2 linked regions of the Drosophila melanogaster genome follow. The protein of the gene in region 1 purifies or fractionates together with the protein of each later gene. This does not show direct contact. Each region holds a gene or a part of one and is shown on either strand. Other genes may lie near its edges.

Region 1 (10,224 bases):
TTAGCATTTTGATAGCAAGTGTAAAAGCCATCCGTGCAATAAAAGTCCTTTGGACATGGCAAGAGATCATACGATGGAACTCCTGGAAATTAAAACGTTGTCACACAATCCCCTTGTTTTTAAAGAAAATTTACAGACCGTCATAGCAGATGGAAAAAGTGGTTTCACTGTGACAAGCGACATTGCTATCACTTTGACACACATTGCACGTGGCCGCCAAATATCGAATCGAAAGCTTAAGTTTATTAAAAAGTGATTATTAGCCCGAAGTGCGCACAGTTTGTAGTAGTTACCAGTAGAACAAGCGCCTTTAGCCACATCTTTTTTGTCTCCAGTCGCCTTTCAATCTAAAATACTGGGGACAAACGGATCACCTTATATGTATCTTTGGTTATCTTTAGAGACTTGCCGAAAAAGTGAGATATTTTCTGTATGTTTGCTTAGTTTTATTGCGGTGTTAGGCTTTGCGTCAATAAATAGTACAAGGCTACAAGTAATTTATAAAAATATATTCACAAATTGAAGGCGCGTTCGTTAGCTGATAGCAGAGTACGAGTGTGGTTTACAACATATCTAGGAATACATAGAGTCGAGTCGAGTTAACAAAACACCAAATGAACGGATATAAATACTATTTTTAAATATCTTGTCTTATCTGCGAAAAAGAAAGCCTTTCGCTTAGGACGTACATTGAGGCCGGTACAGCTAATATTTAACATATTTTTTTATAGTTTTGTGTATATAGGGGTGTATACTGGATAGTTATATGTTCGCATAGTTGTCGCGTAGTCTTGTGGAGTTTTTAGATTGCATAAATAGGTACAAACTATAGTATGTACTATGTACTAGTCTAATTGTAAAATATTTCTTAAGGCAAATCATAGCGGTTTAAGCAGCACTTCACACTTACATATGTAACTTGCTTAAGGCAACATCGATGTTCTAATGCGTTTAAAAATAAATTCGTTAATTTCTAAAACGAAATAATACTTCGTCAGCAAATGCATTATGTTCGAGTTCACGTTGTGGACGTATACTGTTCGAATGATCTAGACGCAGCCGTACTCATACCAGATGCTATTGCTCTTGTCTTCGGTCCGCTTCCTTGCCGACTTGTCATCCTGCATGGTCGTTCCCGAGACGCTGCCGCTGGCCTGCAGCAGAGGGCTCTGGTCCCCGCTGTTCGAGGCTCCTCCGATCGTGGTGTTTATTCGGTTGTACATGAGAAACGTAGCTGGGCCCACCGGGGCATTGTTTTCGGTACTCTTCTGAGGCGTCTGAGGTTCTGCGGGTGTAGGAGGTGCGGCGTTGACGGAGCCACTGCCGCCAACAGACTGTGACTGTGTGGCGCCGGGAGTAGAGCCATCGGGAAGCTTTTGGTGCTCATCGATAAGATAAACGGTGCGTCTGGAACCGGCCGTTCCGAGAGTCAGACTGCTGCCCGTCACGTCTGGCGCTTCAAGACTGCTGCGAAGCAAATGATTTATCAGTAACTAGATGAATGCACTTTTTTAAACACAGGTGGGGAGCGACAACGAAGGGAAATACGCATTGTGCAAGGGGAAAGATGGAATAAGGATTAATAGTGGTCAATTGAAGCCTCGAAACAGACTTCGATCTGTTTCAATTGGCAAGTTTTAATGGGGTAGAATGAATGTTAAACATCAAAAGCGCATACCCGTGCACGCTATTTCTACGTGAGTTATTCAAATCCGTACGTTTCTGAGCCTGCAGGCTACTGCGCACGGCACCGCCGCGTTGGATCGAGTTATCCAGCAAATCCCTACTCCGACATAATGTACAGTGTTTGTTTGGTGCGAATGTCGAGTTGTGTATAATACATGTAAAAAGAACAAATACCGTGAACCCAAAAATCTAAAAAAAACATCAATTTCCAACCCAACTGAATGGCTTACCGCTGCAGACTCTGGCGGAGCGGGACATTCCTCTGGAGCAGGTGCGTGTCGGAGGCAATGGACAGTGGCTCCTCATTGCTATTATCCGACTCATTGCCGCCTGACTCGGAACCGATCACGAACTGGGAATTGGTACGGGCGTCATCTACCCAAGATCGACGGTTCTGAAAAAAAAAAAATATTTTTATGTTAAGTTTCTTTACATCTAGTTGTGAGTAAACTTACTCGACTGGGCACCTTGTTCATTAGATCCGAGCTAGCCTTCTTCACTCTTCTAACCAGCATGCTGGCAAATGGTTTTCTGAAATTTACAGTGATTGGCTTAATAACAAATATATTTTTGTATGGTTATATTATTTACTTCTTGTGCACTGTGGTTTCTGACTTCTTGTAATGCTCCATAATTTTCTCCTCCAGTTTTTCCTTCTGCCGCTTGAGGCTGTGCACCCGTTCGGTGTAGTTCTTCTCCTCCTCATGGAAGTGCTTTTTGTCCTCCAGGGATATGGCCAATAGTTCCTGATATTGAGAGAGCAATTGGGACACGTTGTCCATCAGAGCCTTGCGCTCCGAGTCCAGTTCAGCATTGTTTTGTATCAACATCTGTATGCAAAAAGAATATTAATAGAATATTATATCTTGACACTTTTTAACTCACCTCACAACGCTGCTGAACCTTGCTATACTCCATCTGTAGGCAACGGACCTGATCGCTCTTAGCATTTAGCTCGCCGGAGAGTTCTGTGTTTTGTAGCTTAAGGCTGGAGTGCTCCATGCGTACCATCTTGTACTGCTCCTGGATGTTTTTGTATTCGTTCTTGAAGCGATCGCTGGTGGCGAACAGATTGCGGAAGTCGTCTGTCAGTTTGGAGTGCTCCGTACGCAGGATTGACAGATCCTCGCTGCATGTTTTCATGTTGCTGTTCTGAATAGTCAACTCCTCAATGCGTTGCTCCAATGCCGACTGCTGTTCACGGGTATCTCGCAGCTCCTGACGCAAGTCCCGCACTGCAGCCTTTAGCTGCTCCTTGTCCTTGTTCAGAGACTCGTACTCCGCGGAGAGTTGATCATGCAGGCATTGCAACGTAACCTGATCCTGCAAAGCATGCTTGTGCTCCTGCTGCAGTGAATCGATCTCTTTGAGCAGCGAATCTTTTTCGGCAGCCAACTGGGAGTTTGCCAGCTGTAGGGCTACATGCTGGGTGTTCAGCGAAGTTATTTGCGAGCCCAGCGCAGCCACGTCCACGCTGAGCCGAGCATTCTCAGTCTGAAGCTGAGTGTTGGAATCCTTAATACGGGTCAGCTCTGCTGATTCTCGTGCTGGACTTAGACGTACCTTGTGTTCGAAGCGAAGTTCCTGCGAAGATGGTTGCGCTGGTGCAGGAGCTGGAGTAGCCGCGAGTTCAATGTTCTTTTCCACCGTAAAGATCTCCTGACGGTGGCATAGCACACACATGTCGGACTTGACGCCACCTTCTCGTTCCTCCTCCTCCAGCTGCTCTCGGGTCACGTTTAGCATTATCTCGCGAACCGTTTTAAAAGTCTCCGGGTTGCGCACCAACTTCTCCACCACATGCTCCACATTGAGCTCACCGGGCTCTTCGTCCGCCAATCCTAGTTTCTCCAAGTTGTTTCGCACTTTCTTCGTTACGAGAGTACCAGTCACCAAGTCGTTTCGAAGAGTACTTATCATCTCTTGATCAATGATGCGCTGTGAAGCTAGCTCTTGGTTTTGCTTCTCCAGTTCCACAAGCTTTTGATGCACTTGCTCCGAATCCTCAAGTGCTTTGCCCAGCTTTTGTAGTTCTTTGCTCTGGACATCGAGCCGATTAATACTGTCATCCAGCTGCACAGACTTTTGCTCGCTGCCCTCCTTGAGTTTGGACACTTCCTTGAGCAGGCTGGCGTTTTCGCGTTCGTACGTGGAGACCCTTGCTTCGATCTCATAGAGCTTCTGTTTAGTAAGCTCGTATTGCCTTGATTTTTCCAGGTATTGCTCTAGTTCCTTTGTCTTGCTCTCCGCCAACCGTTCAAGATCGTCGGCTCTTCGCTGAATGCTTTCGTTCAGGGTTTGGATACGTTGCTTTTCTTTGTTTAAGGTTTCGACATGCTGCTCGGCATCAGAAAGCTTTTGACGGTCAGCTTCGCGTTCCAGGCTCTGTCGATCGTAGCTTTTTTGGCGATTATCCACGGCATCCTGTAACTTTTTGTTCTCCTCCAGGGCATTTTTAAAGACCCCTTCCAGTTCGACATTCTGCTGAGTCAGACGATTGATGTTTTCTTGCATCTGTTCGATTTTTAGAGACAGCTTTTTCTTCTCCTTTTCCAGTTCTAGCATCTTGCTGGTGGATTCGTGGAAGCTACTCTCTTTTAATTGTTCCAGAGCGGCGGTCAAACGACGGTTCTCCAGCTCGAGCTTGAGTGCACGGGTCTGAGCATTGTTCGTTAGCTGTTCCGAAAGACTATTGTCGCCTGAGTTGCAATCGTCTTCGTTTTCGGAAAAGGATTTATCCAAATCCATCGTGGAGTTGAGATTCCTGGCTACCAGTTGCAGTTGCGAGTTCTCCTCCAGCAACTCTTCTAGCTTGGAGCGATCCACGTCCCGTTCGAGAGCCATGTCGTTTATCTTCTGTTTGTATTTAATAATCTCGGATTCCAGAGAGATGGCATGCTCAGACCTTTTTCGGTAACGCTGCAACTGCTCCTCCAGCATTTCCCTGAGAAGGTGGAAGGGTATTATAGGTTAGAAAACATTCAATGGTATTTTGTTTGGCTCATATACTTGGATTCAAGCAGCACACGGTTATCCTCCCGCAGTTCCTCAACGCGGGATTTGTAAAAGTCGGAGTCTCCGAGTTTCTCGCGGTACTTCTGAACTTCCACCTCCAGGCGATCAGCTCTTTCAGCCCGTTCCCGGAGGATGTCCACCTCGTCACGATATGCAGATGCCCGCTTGGCCTCCGTAAACCATTCTTGGCTTTCCTGGCGCAGCTTGTCAAAGCGAGCCTTCTTGTCATCCAACTCCTCACGTAGCTCCAAAAGATTCTCGGACTTTTCCTCGCTTAAAGAAAGGAAAAGGTGTATGAATAATTATTGGATAAGTAAATAATAGCTTGTCTTACAGTTCCTGACGCAGCTTGCGGTTCTTCGAACGCAGATCGGCACATTCTACGGCAAGGTGATTGCTTTCCGAATTGGAAGAAGATGAAGGTGTCGAGGTGGCAGTTCCGTTCGAAGGGGAACGTGTAACGCTGACACCTTGGCCACATTCCACCAAATTATCGCTGGCTGTCATTTCGGTCTCTACGCACGCCAAATCGATCCACTTGAGATACATGACGTCCCGCTCCTTGGTCAGGCGCAAAATGTGCGTGTACATGCTCTGCGGCGTAAGTCGCTCCAAGGAGTCCTCGGTGAGCACCAAACTATGGCTGTCGGTCACTTGTTTGATCAGTCCAACAATAGCGTGTTGCGTTTCTAAGTCCAGCTCCTTGATGCGAGCAATAAATAGCTCCTTGTTGGGACATTGCACAGCTGCGCCGAGCAACAGGGTCAGCAAGGTCTTCATCTGTTCGAGCCCGTTCTTACTCTCCGGATGATGACCCAGGGTGAAGGCATCGGGTAGGACCAGTATGGTTTGACCAAGCTCCTCCTCAAAGAAAGACTTTAGATTCCTCACGACGCACTCGAAGTTCTTGGCCCTCGCAATGCTGAGAGATTTCCCGTTAAGATCGTTCAGCTCGCTGGGATTATTTTGCGGCTCGGGGTCGATTTGCAGCCAGACGCTGTGAATTATGTGGCCATCCAGCAGGGAGGTGTATCCGGCGAGAAGCTCGGCACGTGGCAGACATGATTCCAGCTGTAAAGGAAGAAAATACCAGTTTTAGATACGGAATCCAACAAAGCGAGCGCGAATATGTTTATTAGCTGGACAAGAGCTCATTACGCTCCTCCTCCATTCTTATTGTACCGCTAGCAGTCTTGAGCAAGTTACAATGACCTTGGTTCTTTGGCGACAAACAGTTTGGGTCAAAAAAATAAGAGCTCGAAGTGGAGTATGATACATATGATTGATATGATTATAAATTAATACGATACACCTGCTTTCGTCGTAACGGAATTAATTTAACGAAGCTAAGGCTTTGGATATATAAAATTATTCGTTTTTTGGAGTTTCCCTGTAACGTATGATTCTATTTCGTTGACCTCAGCTGTGTGTGTGTAAGCAGGTTGTTCTCACGACTTTGTTGTTGTTTTCGCCTTTTCCATTTGCGAGCGCTTGGCAATCGAACACTTGAATTATTTATGCCAAGCACATAGGCCCACTGGCGATGCAAATGTCGATCATGTTTATCCATAACGCCCGCAGTACTCTACTCACCCAAGAAATTATGGACGAATTAACAAACTCATCAATTTCCATTGGCGTCGCGGTCGCAGTGCCAGCCATTGTTTGTGTTGTTATTGTTATTGGACGGACGGGCGGAATAGGTAAGTGCAGGTATGTATGAGTGTGTGAGTTTGTGCCGCTGCACCTGTCGCAAAGGAACAGCTGCGGCTCCTCCAAACTGTGATGCTGGGCGAGATAGTTTCTATTTTTTCAAGAAGTAAAGTCCAACAACAGCCTCCCGAAATTTATGCCAAGGACGGGGCATTTTCACATTGCACATGCAGGCAAGTCGCAAGATCACAGTTTGTAACAACACTAAAATACGTTGGAGAGCACTTCGCGGATTAAATTGGCTTTAACAAACTAAGCAACAAGGAACACTACAAGGCAGCACTCTAAAAAATTAGCGAAATATTTTTGGGAAGACTGGACTGTTGGAAAAAAAGCATAATTTGTGCCGGTGATGACACTTCGCTAATGCTGCCAACTATCGAATGCGGTGGAGGGGTCTAGTGATGGAACTTTGCGACAAGTAGCTAACTAGCTAGAAATAGCTAAATTCCACAAATCACAGAGATAGTTAATTGACTTTGAATGATGCTAAAGCTTATCGAATGAATCGATGCTATCGTTGATGGTATCTAAATGCATTGTAAATGAGACTTATTTTACAATGTGATCAGCCTTGTTGTGGTTAATTAAGGGTTATCTGTCAAACGAAGTTCCTGAAAAGTAGCCAGAAAGAAGGTAGGTCACTTGCTAACCGATTGCAGCTCCTATCGATGTCGATAACTGCTGTCGAGCCCATCAGAATTCAAATTTGAAAGAGAGCAGAAAGCTTTCGTGGATCGGTGGATGAGGAGGAGGATGCTGGGCTGACGAACCGAACGGAACGGATTATTTAACGCGCCGCAAAAATGGCAACGCTTGCAAACAAAAGCCTGCGAACGCTACGAAAGTTACATTACTAGAAACTAACCGACCTGAAGTTGAAATAGTTGGAGTGCAAAGTGTTGTTATTGGCGATTCGAAAACGACGGGTTAAGTTAAGTTAATTTCGACTGTCTATATATAGATCCTCTGTATAGGCAAGCACAATATTGCAAATAGGTTAAATATCTAAATATCTCGAAATGGGAAATCAGCCGGGAAAGCTGCACACGCATCCACAAGGCGGTCGCCCCAAGAAGAATGTCCACTGGAAGTCCGCAGGCAAGTAGAAAAGTAGTAACTCCATATACCATCAGGGTCCCAGTCCCAGTACAATTCCTACCCGAATTTCAAGATATCAGAGGAGGCCCCACATAGCTGTCTGGCTGGTGGGAGCGCTAGAAATGGGTCTATTTTTAGCCACTCGCACACTCAGTGGTTGCCGTGTTCGTCTGTTTGGCCCCAAAATCTCGCAACGTCAAAGTAATGTTGTCGTTTGAGAAGCGGAAGAATCATTATGCTGAGATAGAATCTTTTGTAGGTGCATAATTTCTAAAGCCCTTTAAGGGCTACAATATGGAGCTGGGACAGGAAAGTCACCCACACCGTAATAACTTAGCAATGCAATCTTTGTGAATCGAAATTGATTCTCTAAAACTATGCAACTTATATTTAGGAATAAATCGTAGGTTATCTTAATTAAAAAATCAAATATTTCTCTATTTCCTTTAAAGTTTAACTTTTTTTCTCGCATCGTAGAAGATTTTTAGATCTTTTAATCCTTAAATTGCATTATATTTGTTTCCCAATCAGAGCGACCTTCTCCGCCTGGCCGACCCATCCTGACGCCAGTGGCACTACCGGAGCAGCAACCGGACGTGGTGAACCTGCGCTGGGATCGGCCACTCCACGATGGAGGTTCACCCATCACTGGCTATACGGTAGAGCACAGGCGCATGGGGTCACCCCACTGGGTGAGAGCCACGCCCACTCCCGTGGACCGCTGCGATGTGTGCATCAGTGGACTGGAGCCGGGATGGCGTTACCAGTTTCGTTGCTTTGCTGAGAACATTGTGGGGCGATCCGATGCCAGCGAGCTATCTGATCCGCTGACGGTGACGCTGCAGCGAAATGCCATAACCGTGCCCCGGTTCATCGACGAACTGGTGGACACGAATGCCGTGGAAGACGAGCGAATCGAGTTCCGCGTCCGCATTCTTGGCGAACCGCCGCCGGAGATTAACTGGTTCAAGGACGGCTACGAGATCTTCAGCAGTCGGCGCACAAAGATCGTCAACGACAACGAGGCCAGTGTCCTGGTGATCCACCAAGTGGCGCTGACCGACGAGGGCGAGATAAAATGCACGGCCACCAATCGAGCGGGACATGTGATTACCAAGGCAAGGTTGATGGTGCAGGCTCCTCCCAAGATCCGATTACCCCGCACCTACGAGGATGGACTGATTGTTGAGGCGGACGAAGTGTTGCGCCTTAAGGTTGGCGTGGCTGGACAGCCACCGCCCGCTATTACGTGGCTTCATGAGGGCGAGGTCATTGCTCCGGGTGGACGCTTTGAGGTGGGTCATCTTACCGGTCTTTTTTCACCCACTGCATAAGTAACTCGCTTCCCATTGCAGGTCTCCAACACGGAGAAGAACTCCCTGCTTAAGATCGACAATGTGCTTCGAGAAGATCGCGGCGAGTATATGGTGAAAGCTTGGAATCGATTGGGTGAGGACAGTACCTCCTTTTTGGTTACAGTGACAGCCAGGCCCAATCCACCGGGTACTCCCAAGCTGAATATGTCCTTTGGCAAGTCCGCCACTCTTTCCTGGACGGCTCCACTCGACGACGGAGGCTGTAAGATTGGCAACTACATAGTTGAATATTTCCGAGTGGGCTGGAACGTCTGGCTGAAGGCGGCCACCACTCGGGCACTGAGCACCACACTTCACGATCTGATAGAGGGTTCCGAGTACAAATTTCGTGTAAAGGCAGAAAATCCATATGGCCTGAGCGAACCGTCGGGTGAATCGGAGCTGCTCTTCATCCCGGATCCCAAGCGGGGAATCACCAAACCGAAATCAGCTACAAGGATAGCCGGAGATGAGAAGGACAAGCCCAAGACAGGAGCTGGAGGGATGCAGGTGCCACCGCGCAGGAAGACTTTATCTCCTCCACGGCCTCAAGCAGATGCCTCCACGGGCATGTCACCCAAACAGTCGCCCAGTGCGAAGCGGAAGCCGAAGCCTCAGCTCATAGACAACGAGCAACTGACCCACGAAATGTCCTACGGAACTTCGGATCATGCTCTAAAGATGGACGTGCGCAAGAGTCCTTCGCTTAATAGCGCCGATTCGGCTAATAAACCCACGACAGATAGTTCCAATCCAAAGCTTAACCTCACCCTGGTGACCACAACACTGGCACCGCTGGACAAGTCTGTACCATCCCCCAAGGCACCAAGGACTCCAGCTACATCTCCCTTGAAACTTTTCAATCCGAAACCCTCTGGAGCCCCTAAAGATAGGTCACCAGTGCAGCCAAAGCCACAGCCATTGCCTACTCCACCCATGGAAACGCCGGATAAGGCATCACCCAACCCGAAGAGAAGCTTAAGTCCACCCAACAAGAGACAACCACCGCCTCTTCGCAAGAGTCCCACGCCTCCGGAACCTATAAAGGTTACCCCAGCTCTGTTGAGGAGTGCGGAGCCCGTTCAACTGGGAGTCAACCAGAATGTAAGGCGATTCTCTGGACAAACCCTAAGCCCGGCCAGAAATGTGCCAACTCTGGCGTTGGCAGTGGCTTCCGGTGTGTCAGCTGTAATTGGCGAGAAGCTGCCCACTATCGAAATAAGTGCTCCACCAACGCCCCAGGAGGAAGAGCCTCCAGTACTGGAGCGCAGTCCGTCTCCAGAACCAGCTCCAAAGTCCCAGTCCAACGCAAGGCGGTTCTCCAGGTCAGCCGACAAACACGACGACGTCCACA
Region 2 (9,199 bases), on another chromosome or scaffold:
TGTTGAAATGTGAAACAAACATACATACATATGTATGTACATAGTTATAAAAATAACGCGAAAAGGGGTGGGGTGGCAACCCTGGCGGTGCGTGCACGAAAAATAATGGAAATGGAAGAAAACCAAATGAAATGCGAAAAATTTACGAAAATTTTCACATTCAATGACCTTGACAATGGCTTTGGCCCAAGTCGCTCAACTTGTTTATTTCATTTACTTCGCTTGACGTGTGTGAGCGTAGAAAACGTGACGAGTTACGTACTTTTGGAGAAAGGTCGTTGATCATGGCTAAATGTTGTTGCTTTTCGCTTAATAGCGGTCTCAAAGTCAACATCAACGCGCTGTTTTTGGCCATTTCAGTATTTCTAGTTTCGATACCCCTCACCGCCGTCCCTCCGTCGGATTCCAGCGCTTTTTCGAACTGTTTCCCTTCAAAAACAGCTTTTTTTTCTTGAATTCAGTGGCGCAAGGTTAAAAGTGCCGAAAACCGAAGCCATTGGCCCGGGGAAATTTCTGCGAGTTTTTTCATCGCCTTGCCAAAAAAAAAAAAAAACAAAAAACAAACGATCGAGCAACGAACTTGAGAGAAGCAAATAGAGCCAAAAAAAAGGTTATGATTTTGTTCCAAAGAATGTTCCATAGAATTCTATATTCTAAAAACACAAATGATACTTCTAAAAAAAAATCATATTCATAAATGACTCTTTCCATGAATGGCATCAACTCTGAATCAAATCTTTGCAGATGCACCTACTTCTCATTTCCACTGTCACATCATTTTTCCAGATCTCGCTGCCTGTTATGTGGCCCACAAACCAAGACACGTTTTATGGCCATTAAAGCTGGCTGATCGTCGCCAAACACCAAATACATAATGAATATGTACACATTCGAGAAAGAAGCGATCAAAGAAGCGTCTTCGGGCGGAGTAGGAGAATGCGGAGGAGAAGGAGAACGAGCTGATCTAGTATCTCTCCACAATCCAATGCCAACTGACCAACTGGCCATATTCGGAGCAATTTGAAGCCAATTTCCATCGCCTGGCGATCGCTCCATTCTTGGCTATATGTTTTTCACCGTTACCCGGGGCCATTTTCAAAGACTCGTCGGCAAGATAAGATTGTGTCACTCGCTGTCTCTCTTCATTTGTCGAAGAATGCTGAGGAATTTCGCGATGACGTCGGCGAGTATTTTGAAGAATGAGAATAATTTGTATTTATACGAAAATCAGTTAGTGGAATTTTCTACAAAAACATGTTATCTATAGATAATTTTGTTGCAAAATATGTTGACTATGACAAAGAACTGGAATTAAGTGGCATATTTTGCATTGCTTTCCGATAATAGTTGTATTTTTATAAAGTAAAGCGTTTGTAAAATAAATACCTTTAATGTATTCTCATTTTCTTATGTATTTATAATGGCAATGATGATACTGATGATATTTTAAGATGATGCCAGACCAAAAGGCTTGAATTTCTGCGTCTTTTGCCGAACGCAGTGCATGTGCAATTGTTGTTTTTTGGAATATTCAATTTTCGGACTGTCCGCTTTGATTTCAGTTTCTTGGCTTATTCAAAAAGCAAAGTAAAGCCAAAAAAGCGAGATGGCAATACCAAATGCGGCAAAACGGTAGTGGAAGGAAAGGGGTGCGGGGCAGCGGAAGGAAGGGTGGGGCGGGGCGTGGCGGGGTCTGTGGCTGGGCGCGACGTCACCGACGTTGGAGCCACTCCTTTGACCATGTGTGCGTGTGTGTATTATTCGTGTCTCGCCACTCGCCGGTTGTTTTTTTCTTTTTATGCTGCGCTCTCTCTAGCGCCATCTCGCTTACGCATGCTCAACGCACCGCATGTTGCCGTTTCCTTTTATGCGTCATTTTGGCTCGAAATAGGCAATTATTTAAACAAAGATTAGTCAACGAAAACGCTAAAATAAATAAGTCTACAATATGGTTACTTATTGCCATGTGTGTGCAGCCAACGATAGCAACAAAAGCAACAACACAGGTGGCTTTCCCTCTTTCACTTTTTGTTTGCAAGCCGCGTGCGAGCAAGACGGCACGACCGGCAAACGCAATTACGCTGACAAAGAGCAGACGAAGTTTTGGCGAAAAACATCAAGGCGCCTGATACGAATGCATTTGCAATAACAATTGCGATATTTAATATTGTTTATGAAGCTGTTTGACTTCAAAACACACAAAAAAAAAAATAAAACAAATTATTTGAAAGAGAATTAGGAATCGGACGCTTATCGTTAGGGTAACAACAAGAAATGCTTACTGAGTCACAGCCTCTGGAAAACTGCCGCAAGCCAGAGAGAGAGAGAAAAAGAGGGAGAGCAGCTTAGACCGCATGTGCTTGTGTGTGAGGCGTCTCTCTCTTCGTCTCTGTTGCGCAAACGCATAGACTGCACTGAAAAAATCGATTACCTATTTTTTATGAATGAATATTTGCACTATTACTATTCAAAACTATTAAGATAGCAATCACATTCAATAGCCAAATACTATACCACCTGAGCGATGCAACGAAATGATCAATTTGAGCAAAAATGCTGCATATTTAGGACGGCATCATTATAGAAATGCTTCTTGCTGTGTACTTTTCTCTCGTCTGGCAGCTGTTTCGCCGTTATTGTTAAAACCGGCTTAAGTTAGGTGTGTTTTCTACGACTAGTGAATGCCCTACTAGAAGATGTGTGTTGCACAAAATGTCCCTGGAATAACCAATTTGAAGTGCAGATAGCAGTAAACGTAAGCTAATATGAATATTATTTAACTGTAATGTTTTAATATCGCTGGACATTACTAATAAACCCACTATAAACACATGTACATATGTATGTTTTGGCATACAATGAGTAGTTGGGGAAAAAATGTGTAAAAGCACCGTGACCATCACAGCATAAAGATAACCAGCTGAAGTATCGAATATGAGTAACCCCCAAATTGAATCACATGCCGCAACTGATAGGACCCATGGAAGTACACTCTTCATGGCGATATACAAGACACACACAAGCACGAACACCCAGTTGCGGAGGAAATTCTCCGTAAATGAAAACCCAATCGGCGAACAATTCATACCCATATATGGTAAAAGTTTTGAACGCGACTTGAGAGCGGAGAGCATTGCGGCTGATAAGGTTTTAGCGCTAAGCGGGCTTTATAAAACGGGCTGCGGGACCAGTTTTCATATCACTACCGTTTGAGTTCTTGTGCTGTGTGGATACTCCTCCCGACACAAAGCCGCTCCATCAGCCAGCAGTCGTCTAATCCAGAGACACCAAACCGAAAGACTTAATTTATATTTATTTAATTAATTTTAATAAAACACACCAAATGTAAGTAGCTTTCCCCTTCCCAACAACAAAACACCATCGAACCACTCCCACCAAGAAAAAGCAATAATCGAGAAAAGCCGCGGAAAATGTGTGATTTTTTTTGTAAACAAAACATTTTTTTATGTGCCAGTGCTGAAAGTGATCAAAAAATACTAGCCACGAGCTAAAGAGTTATTGTATTGACCAAAACTCCAAAAATACCCAAGTTTGGCCCTAAATTGTCAATCAAAATACCAATAGGTCGAAAGACATCAAAATTAACAAAACCAGGGTTTCAAATACCATAACTCAAGAATCAGGATTACAACTGCAGATTTCAGGATATATACATACAAATTATACGAAATTATAAAAACCAAAGCAATTCAATAGCCCCAACTCAAATGTTAGGATCTAATATAGTGTTTAAAGCCAAGCTCGCTGATGTGGGCGTGTCACGATTTCACCCAAAGATATGCCAAATTACGAATTGCAAATCAATTCGCCAACACTTTCTTTTTTTCCCACGCCCTAAAACACCAGATCATCCATAAATGTACATACATACAGTATATGCATATTATAATCTGTAAAACTAGATCAGGTTCTTGAAAATAGTGACGTAGGCAGCCGTTTTGGCTGAAGCAGAAATTTTTGCCGGTTTTTCAAAGTTGTAGTTGCAAAAATGGAGAAAACCTTCGAGCATTCGTTCATATACACACACTCACGCGCAAAATAACGAGAGAGAGTGTATGTGTGTGTGAGAGAGCGAAAGCCAGACGACGGTTTGCTTTTCGCCTCGAAACATGACCATATATGGTCACAAAACTTGGCCGCCGCAATTCAACACACCAGCGCTCTCCTTCGCACCCATAGCGACCATGGCGCGGAGCGAGCGAGATGGCGAGAGCGAGCGACGCCTATGGCGACGTCGACGCAGGCAGCGATTGAAAAACGCAGTTAACTGGCATTCAACATTCACCAGCCACTTTCAGTCGGTTTATTCCAGTCATTCCTTTCAAACCGTGCGGTCGCTTAGCTCAGCCTCGCCACTTGCGTTTACAGTAGTTTTCACGCCTTGAATTTGTTAAATCGAACAAAAAGGTAAAGTTTAACTAGCTTTGAAAAGTTTCGTGGCTCTTAATTGTTAAATTTTCTAGAGTGCGTTTAGTGTTTTTTTTTTTTTTTATTTTGTAATGTTAATTTCGGGTTCCAATTCGAGTTTTAGGCAGCCGCCATTTTAAGGGCGCATACACACAGGCAACTGTGCTCTCTTTGCGGCTTTCTTTTGCACCGGCATTCGTTAAGTGTCGTCTAGAAGCTTCTCCCCTCCCTTTTCGGCATATTCGTATTGTGGTTTTAATTTTTCGGGGCGGGGCCTTCTATTTTGTAACTGTTCTTTTAATTTCTTATTACAATTCGATCGCAAGTGAAAATCAGTTTTCAATCGGAAAAGTATTTTTTTATGAAATTTTTTTTGTCCAAGATTAAAATTTTGTACTAAAAAAACGTACATTGCATTGAGTGATTTTTAATTGTACACGAAAAACAAGTTAGTTTGTTATGACAATTGTACTTTGGTAGACCAGCGCAGTCCAAGGAAACCACGCAAATTCTCAGTTTTTTTTTTGCCATTTCTACATTACCAAATAAGGTAACCAAAAACTAATGGGAAATCCGCATTCTTTCCATTGCAGCTTACAAAATGTGTGACGAAGAAGTTGCTGCTCTGGTTGTCGACAACGGCTCTGGCATGTGCAAGGCCGGATTTGCCGGAGACGATGCTCCCCGCGCCGTCTTCCCATCGATTGTGGGACGTCCCCGTCACCAGGGTGTGATGGTCGGCATGGGCCAGAAGGACTCGTACGTGGGTGATGAGGCGCAGAGCAAGCGTGGTATCCTCACCCTGAAGTACCCCATTGAGCACGGTATCGTGACCAACTGGGACGATATGGAGAAGATCTGGCACCACACCTTCTACAATGAGCTGCGTGTGGCACCCGAGGAGCACCCCGTGCTGCTGACCGAGGCCCCGCTGAACCCCAAGGCCAACCGTGAGAAGATGACCCAGATCATGTTCGAGACCTTCAACACACCCGCCATGTATGTGGCCATCCAGGCTGTGCTCTCGCTGTACGCCTCCGGTCGTACCACCGGTATCGTTCTGGACTCCGGCGATGGTGTCTCCCACACCGTGCCCATCTACGAGGGTTATGCCCTTCCCCATGCCATCCTGCGTCTGGATCTGGCTGGTCGCGATTTGACCGACTACCTGATGAAGATCCTGACCGAGCGCGGTTACTCTTTCACCACCACCGCTGAGCGTGAAATCGTCCGTGACATCAAGGAGAAGCTGTGCTATGTTGCCCTCGACTTTGAGCAGGAGATGGCCACCGCTGCCAGCAGCTCCTCGTTGGAGAAGTCCTACGAGCTGCCCGACGGACAGGTGATCACCATCGGCAACGAGCGTTTCCGCTGCCCCGAGGCCCTGTTCCAGCCCTCGTTCTTGGGAATGGAGGCTTGCGGCATCCACGAGACCACCTACAACTCCATCATGAAGTGTGATGTGGATATCCGTAAGGATCTGTATGCCAACACCGTGCTGTCCGGTGGCACCACCATGTACCCTGGCATCGCCGACCGTATGCAGAAGGAGATCACCGCCCTGGCACCGTCGACCATGAAGATCAAGATCATTGCCCCGCCAGAGCGCAAGTACTCTGTCTGGATCGGTGGCTCCATCCTGGCTTCGCTGTCCACCTTCCAGCAGATGTGGATCTCCAAGCAGGAGTACGACGAGTCCGGCCCCTCCATTGTGCACCGCAAGTGCTTCTAAGAAGGATCGCTTGTCTGGGCAAGAGGATCAGGATCGGGATGGTCTTGATTCTGCTGGAGGAGGAGGAGGAGAAGTCGAGGAAGCAGCAGCGAAAGTGCAAGTGCGAGTGGTGGAAGTTTGGAGTGCAGCACAACAAAATCAACAACAACACCAACTACAAGATGAAAAGAGCGGAACCACCTGCACACCATCATCATTATCATCATCGTTTTGGGCGCATGTTGTGTGGTTCCAGCGTATTAATATAATTAATTTATTCCACATGAGATATGATATGATATACTATGTATTTTTTGTTTTTTTTTTATTTGTAAACCTTTAATATAACAAGAACTACAAAAAATGAAAATGAGCGAAAATGCATATTCTGCCATTCCACACACACACCAACAACACCCAACACACGCACACCCACAAGCTTACACACACACATTCGCGGCATGACAAGGACATCAAGATAAAGAAGAACTTAAAGAAGATATTTCCCAAAGCGCAAAAAGAACACACACACATTGCAAAACACAAACAACACACTAGCGTTTTGTACAATTCGTCAGCAACCTTATGTATTATTTTTTAATTATGATGTAATTATAAACAAAGTGAAACAAAAATATGAAAACAAAAAGGAAAATCAAATCTGTCTTCTCTTTCTCCCGCTCTCCTCGCTCTCTGCTGCTAACCTCGCCCTCTCCTCTCTCATCTTTTTGTCTGTCTCTCTTCCACATTTTTGCCGGCCGGCAAAATAATAACCCACACACACTCACACTTGGCTGCAGTTTCGCGTGCGATATTCACACACATTCAAGCATACAAGCATACATACATATGTATTTTTTTTTTATTTGTACACTTTTCTAATTGCATGCGTATCGATTGATAAGTTTACGCCTGAAAATGTTAATTAAAATGTGAAAATGCAACTGAAAAACTGATGAAATGAAACAACAACAAGCGAACAATTTGCTACATGTGTATTGTCTAACAACCGTTACTGCAACGGTTGCTTCGGAAAAGGGTGAAGAGGAAGAGGGCACGAGGTCGACGAACTAAGGCTGCGACGACAAGCGGCTGTCTCGCTCGCACGCACGCACGCATGCGGGCTAATGATGCGATTAAAGTGCCGTTTTAAATGGCCAAGATCCAAATAAAAGTCGAGATAATAAGGCAAACACGCTAACACAAATCGCTGGCATAGTTTCATCCGCCAGTTTGGCCAAAAGCAGCGGCTGCAAGCGCCGTTTATCCGGTTTTTCCCAAACATTTTCCATTCATGCGGCCAAAGAGGAGGAGCACCCATCTTTCCATCTTTCTCTGACTCGCACGGGCAATGCAGTGCACCGGAAAGAAAGTGGTGCGAATTGGGATTTATAGACTTACTTTATAGACTTACACGTACAAATATACATAGATATTATATTATTTAAATACATTTTTATTATATTGCTTATATATTAGTTCGACTTCGATATCATTTCTGCCAGTATAATTATGGGCTCTGCTTGATTTGGCGCTCGGATGCTACGGTAAAAGTTATCTTTCTGTGCTTTCTCCTTTGATTCTTGAGTTTCAACGGTTCCGTTTTTGTTGATCTCGTTCATCTTCTTCTTCTTGCGTTCTAGACGTTCTCCTTTGTTTTTTGTTCACAACGGATTTCGTAGCACCTTGAGCGGTTTAAATATACATACATATGTAATACATACATAAATACATATGTAGTTAGTGTTTTTTTTCGATATTCGTATGCCCAAATGTTCGAATAATTAGTAGGTCTCATTAAAAACATCACAAATTAAGAGTAAAGCAATAAAAATATAGAAATATGTAGTATAAAATAGTATTCTAGGACTAAGATTGGTCATACCTGCGGTTTCTATGTGAATATGATGCGATGTGTTGCTTCCCCACTATCTACAGGGTATCGCACTCTACGCTTACAAAGTATGAGCCTACCAACTGAATATTCAGCGATGTGATCCCTTTTGGCCAAGGGTCAGCAGCGCGATTGGCCGGATTTCAATATTCCCGCCTTGAGTCCGCCGTACTTCGCACAGAAGCACTTGGAGCAGCGACACGTGCGGATTGATATACGACATCGAAAACCCGGGAGACCAACAACCGAACCACCATGACCATACCGGAAGCTTTCGAGGATCAGGAAATATTCGTGACCGGCGCCTCCGGTGGGTATTTATGACTGCCTTTGCAGAATAAAGATTTAAAGAGAATGTATTGGTATCTCTGTGCAGGATTCGTGGGCAAAGCACTGATCGAAAAGCTGCTGCGCTCCTGTCCAAAACTGGGCCGCATCTATGTGCTGATGCGGCCCAAGAAGGGCCACACAATTGAGGAGCGCCTGCAGCTGCAGTGGGAATCGAGGTTGTATGAACGGCTGCGCAGAGAACAGCCCAATGCCCGCTCCAAACTGGTGGCCATAGCCGGGGATGTGGAGCAGCTGGGCCTGGGCATTGGCAGCGCGGATCTTGAGCGGCTGCGCAATGTCAACATTGTCTATCATTCGGCGGCCAGTGTGCGGTGAGTACATATGTACATATATACGATCCAGGTTAGGATATACAAATCAATAATACATCATCTTTTAGCTTCGATGATGCCCTGAGCACGGCCATACTACTGAACACCCGTGGCACCCACGAGCTGGTCAAGTTGGCCCTGGAGTGGCCCAAGCTGAAGGCATTCGTCCACGTGTCCACCACCTACTCGAATCCGGGAGTTCTTGAGGTGGAGGAGCGCGTCTATCCACCGTTGGCCGACTGGCGTACAACTATCAAATTGGCGGAGACCTACGACGCCGAGATTCTGGACATCTTCAATCTCAAGTGAGTAGTGGAGTTGAGTGGAAAATAAGATGCTATATAATATGCACCTTGCAGGTATGGTAACTTTCAGCCGAACACGTACACCTTCACCAAAAGTTTGGCCGAGCAGGTGGTCAATGAGTACAGGGACAGGCTGCCCATCTTCATCTTTCGGCCATCGATTGTGGTCTCCACCATTGAGGAACCCGTGCCCGGCTGG

The links.
Region 2: the proteins of Girdin (region 1) and Act5C purify together in Drosophila melanogaster (affinity purification with western blotting, with the first as the bait; one study listed by BioGRID). This does not show direct contact.

The regions. Positions count from the first base shown.
Region 1 is NT_037436.4:3,175,492-3,185,715, reverse strand, and holds Girdin (girdin), read right to left. Parts: upstream 6,787-10,224; 5' UTR 6,364-6,786; coding exon 6,295-6,363; intron 5,773-6,294; coding exon 5,036-5,772; intron 4,975-5,035; coding exon 4,696-4,974; intron 4,631-4,695; coding exon 2,572-4,630; intron 2,517-2,571; coding exon 2,278-2,516; intron 2,218-2,277; coding exon 2,142-2,217; intron 2,081-2,141; coding exon 1,917-2,080; intron 1,784-1,916; coding exon 1,679-1,783; intron 1,468-1,678; coding exon 1,050-1,467; 3' UTR 429-1,049; downstream 1-428. Other genes in the region: CG42494 (uncharacterized protein), read right to left, coding at 1-82, 139-235, 294-320; MnM (myomesin and myosin binding protein), read left to right, coding at 7,437-7,515, 8,047-8,810, 8,871-10,224.
Region 2 is NC_004354.4:5,897,669-5,906,867, forward strand, and holds Act5C (actin 5C), read left to right. Parts: upstream 1-3,192; 5' UTR 3,193-3,345; intron 3,346-4,313; exon of another isoform or gene 4,314-4,428; intron 4,429-5,021; 5' UTR 5,022-5,029; coding exon 5,030-6,160; 3' UTR 6,161-7,731; downstream 7,732-9,199. Other genes in the region: CG4020 (uncharacterized protein), read left to right, coding at 8,289-8,343, 8,410-8,695, 8,764-9,000, 9,055-9,199. UniProt on the Drosophila melanogaster protein: Actins are highly conserved proteins that are involved in various types of cell motility and are ubiquitously expressed in all eukaryotic cells.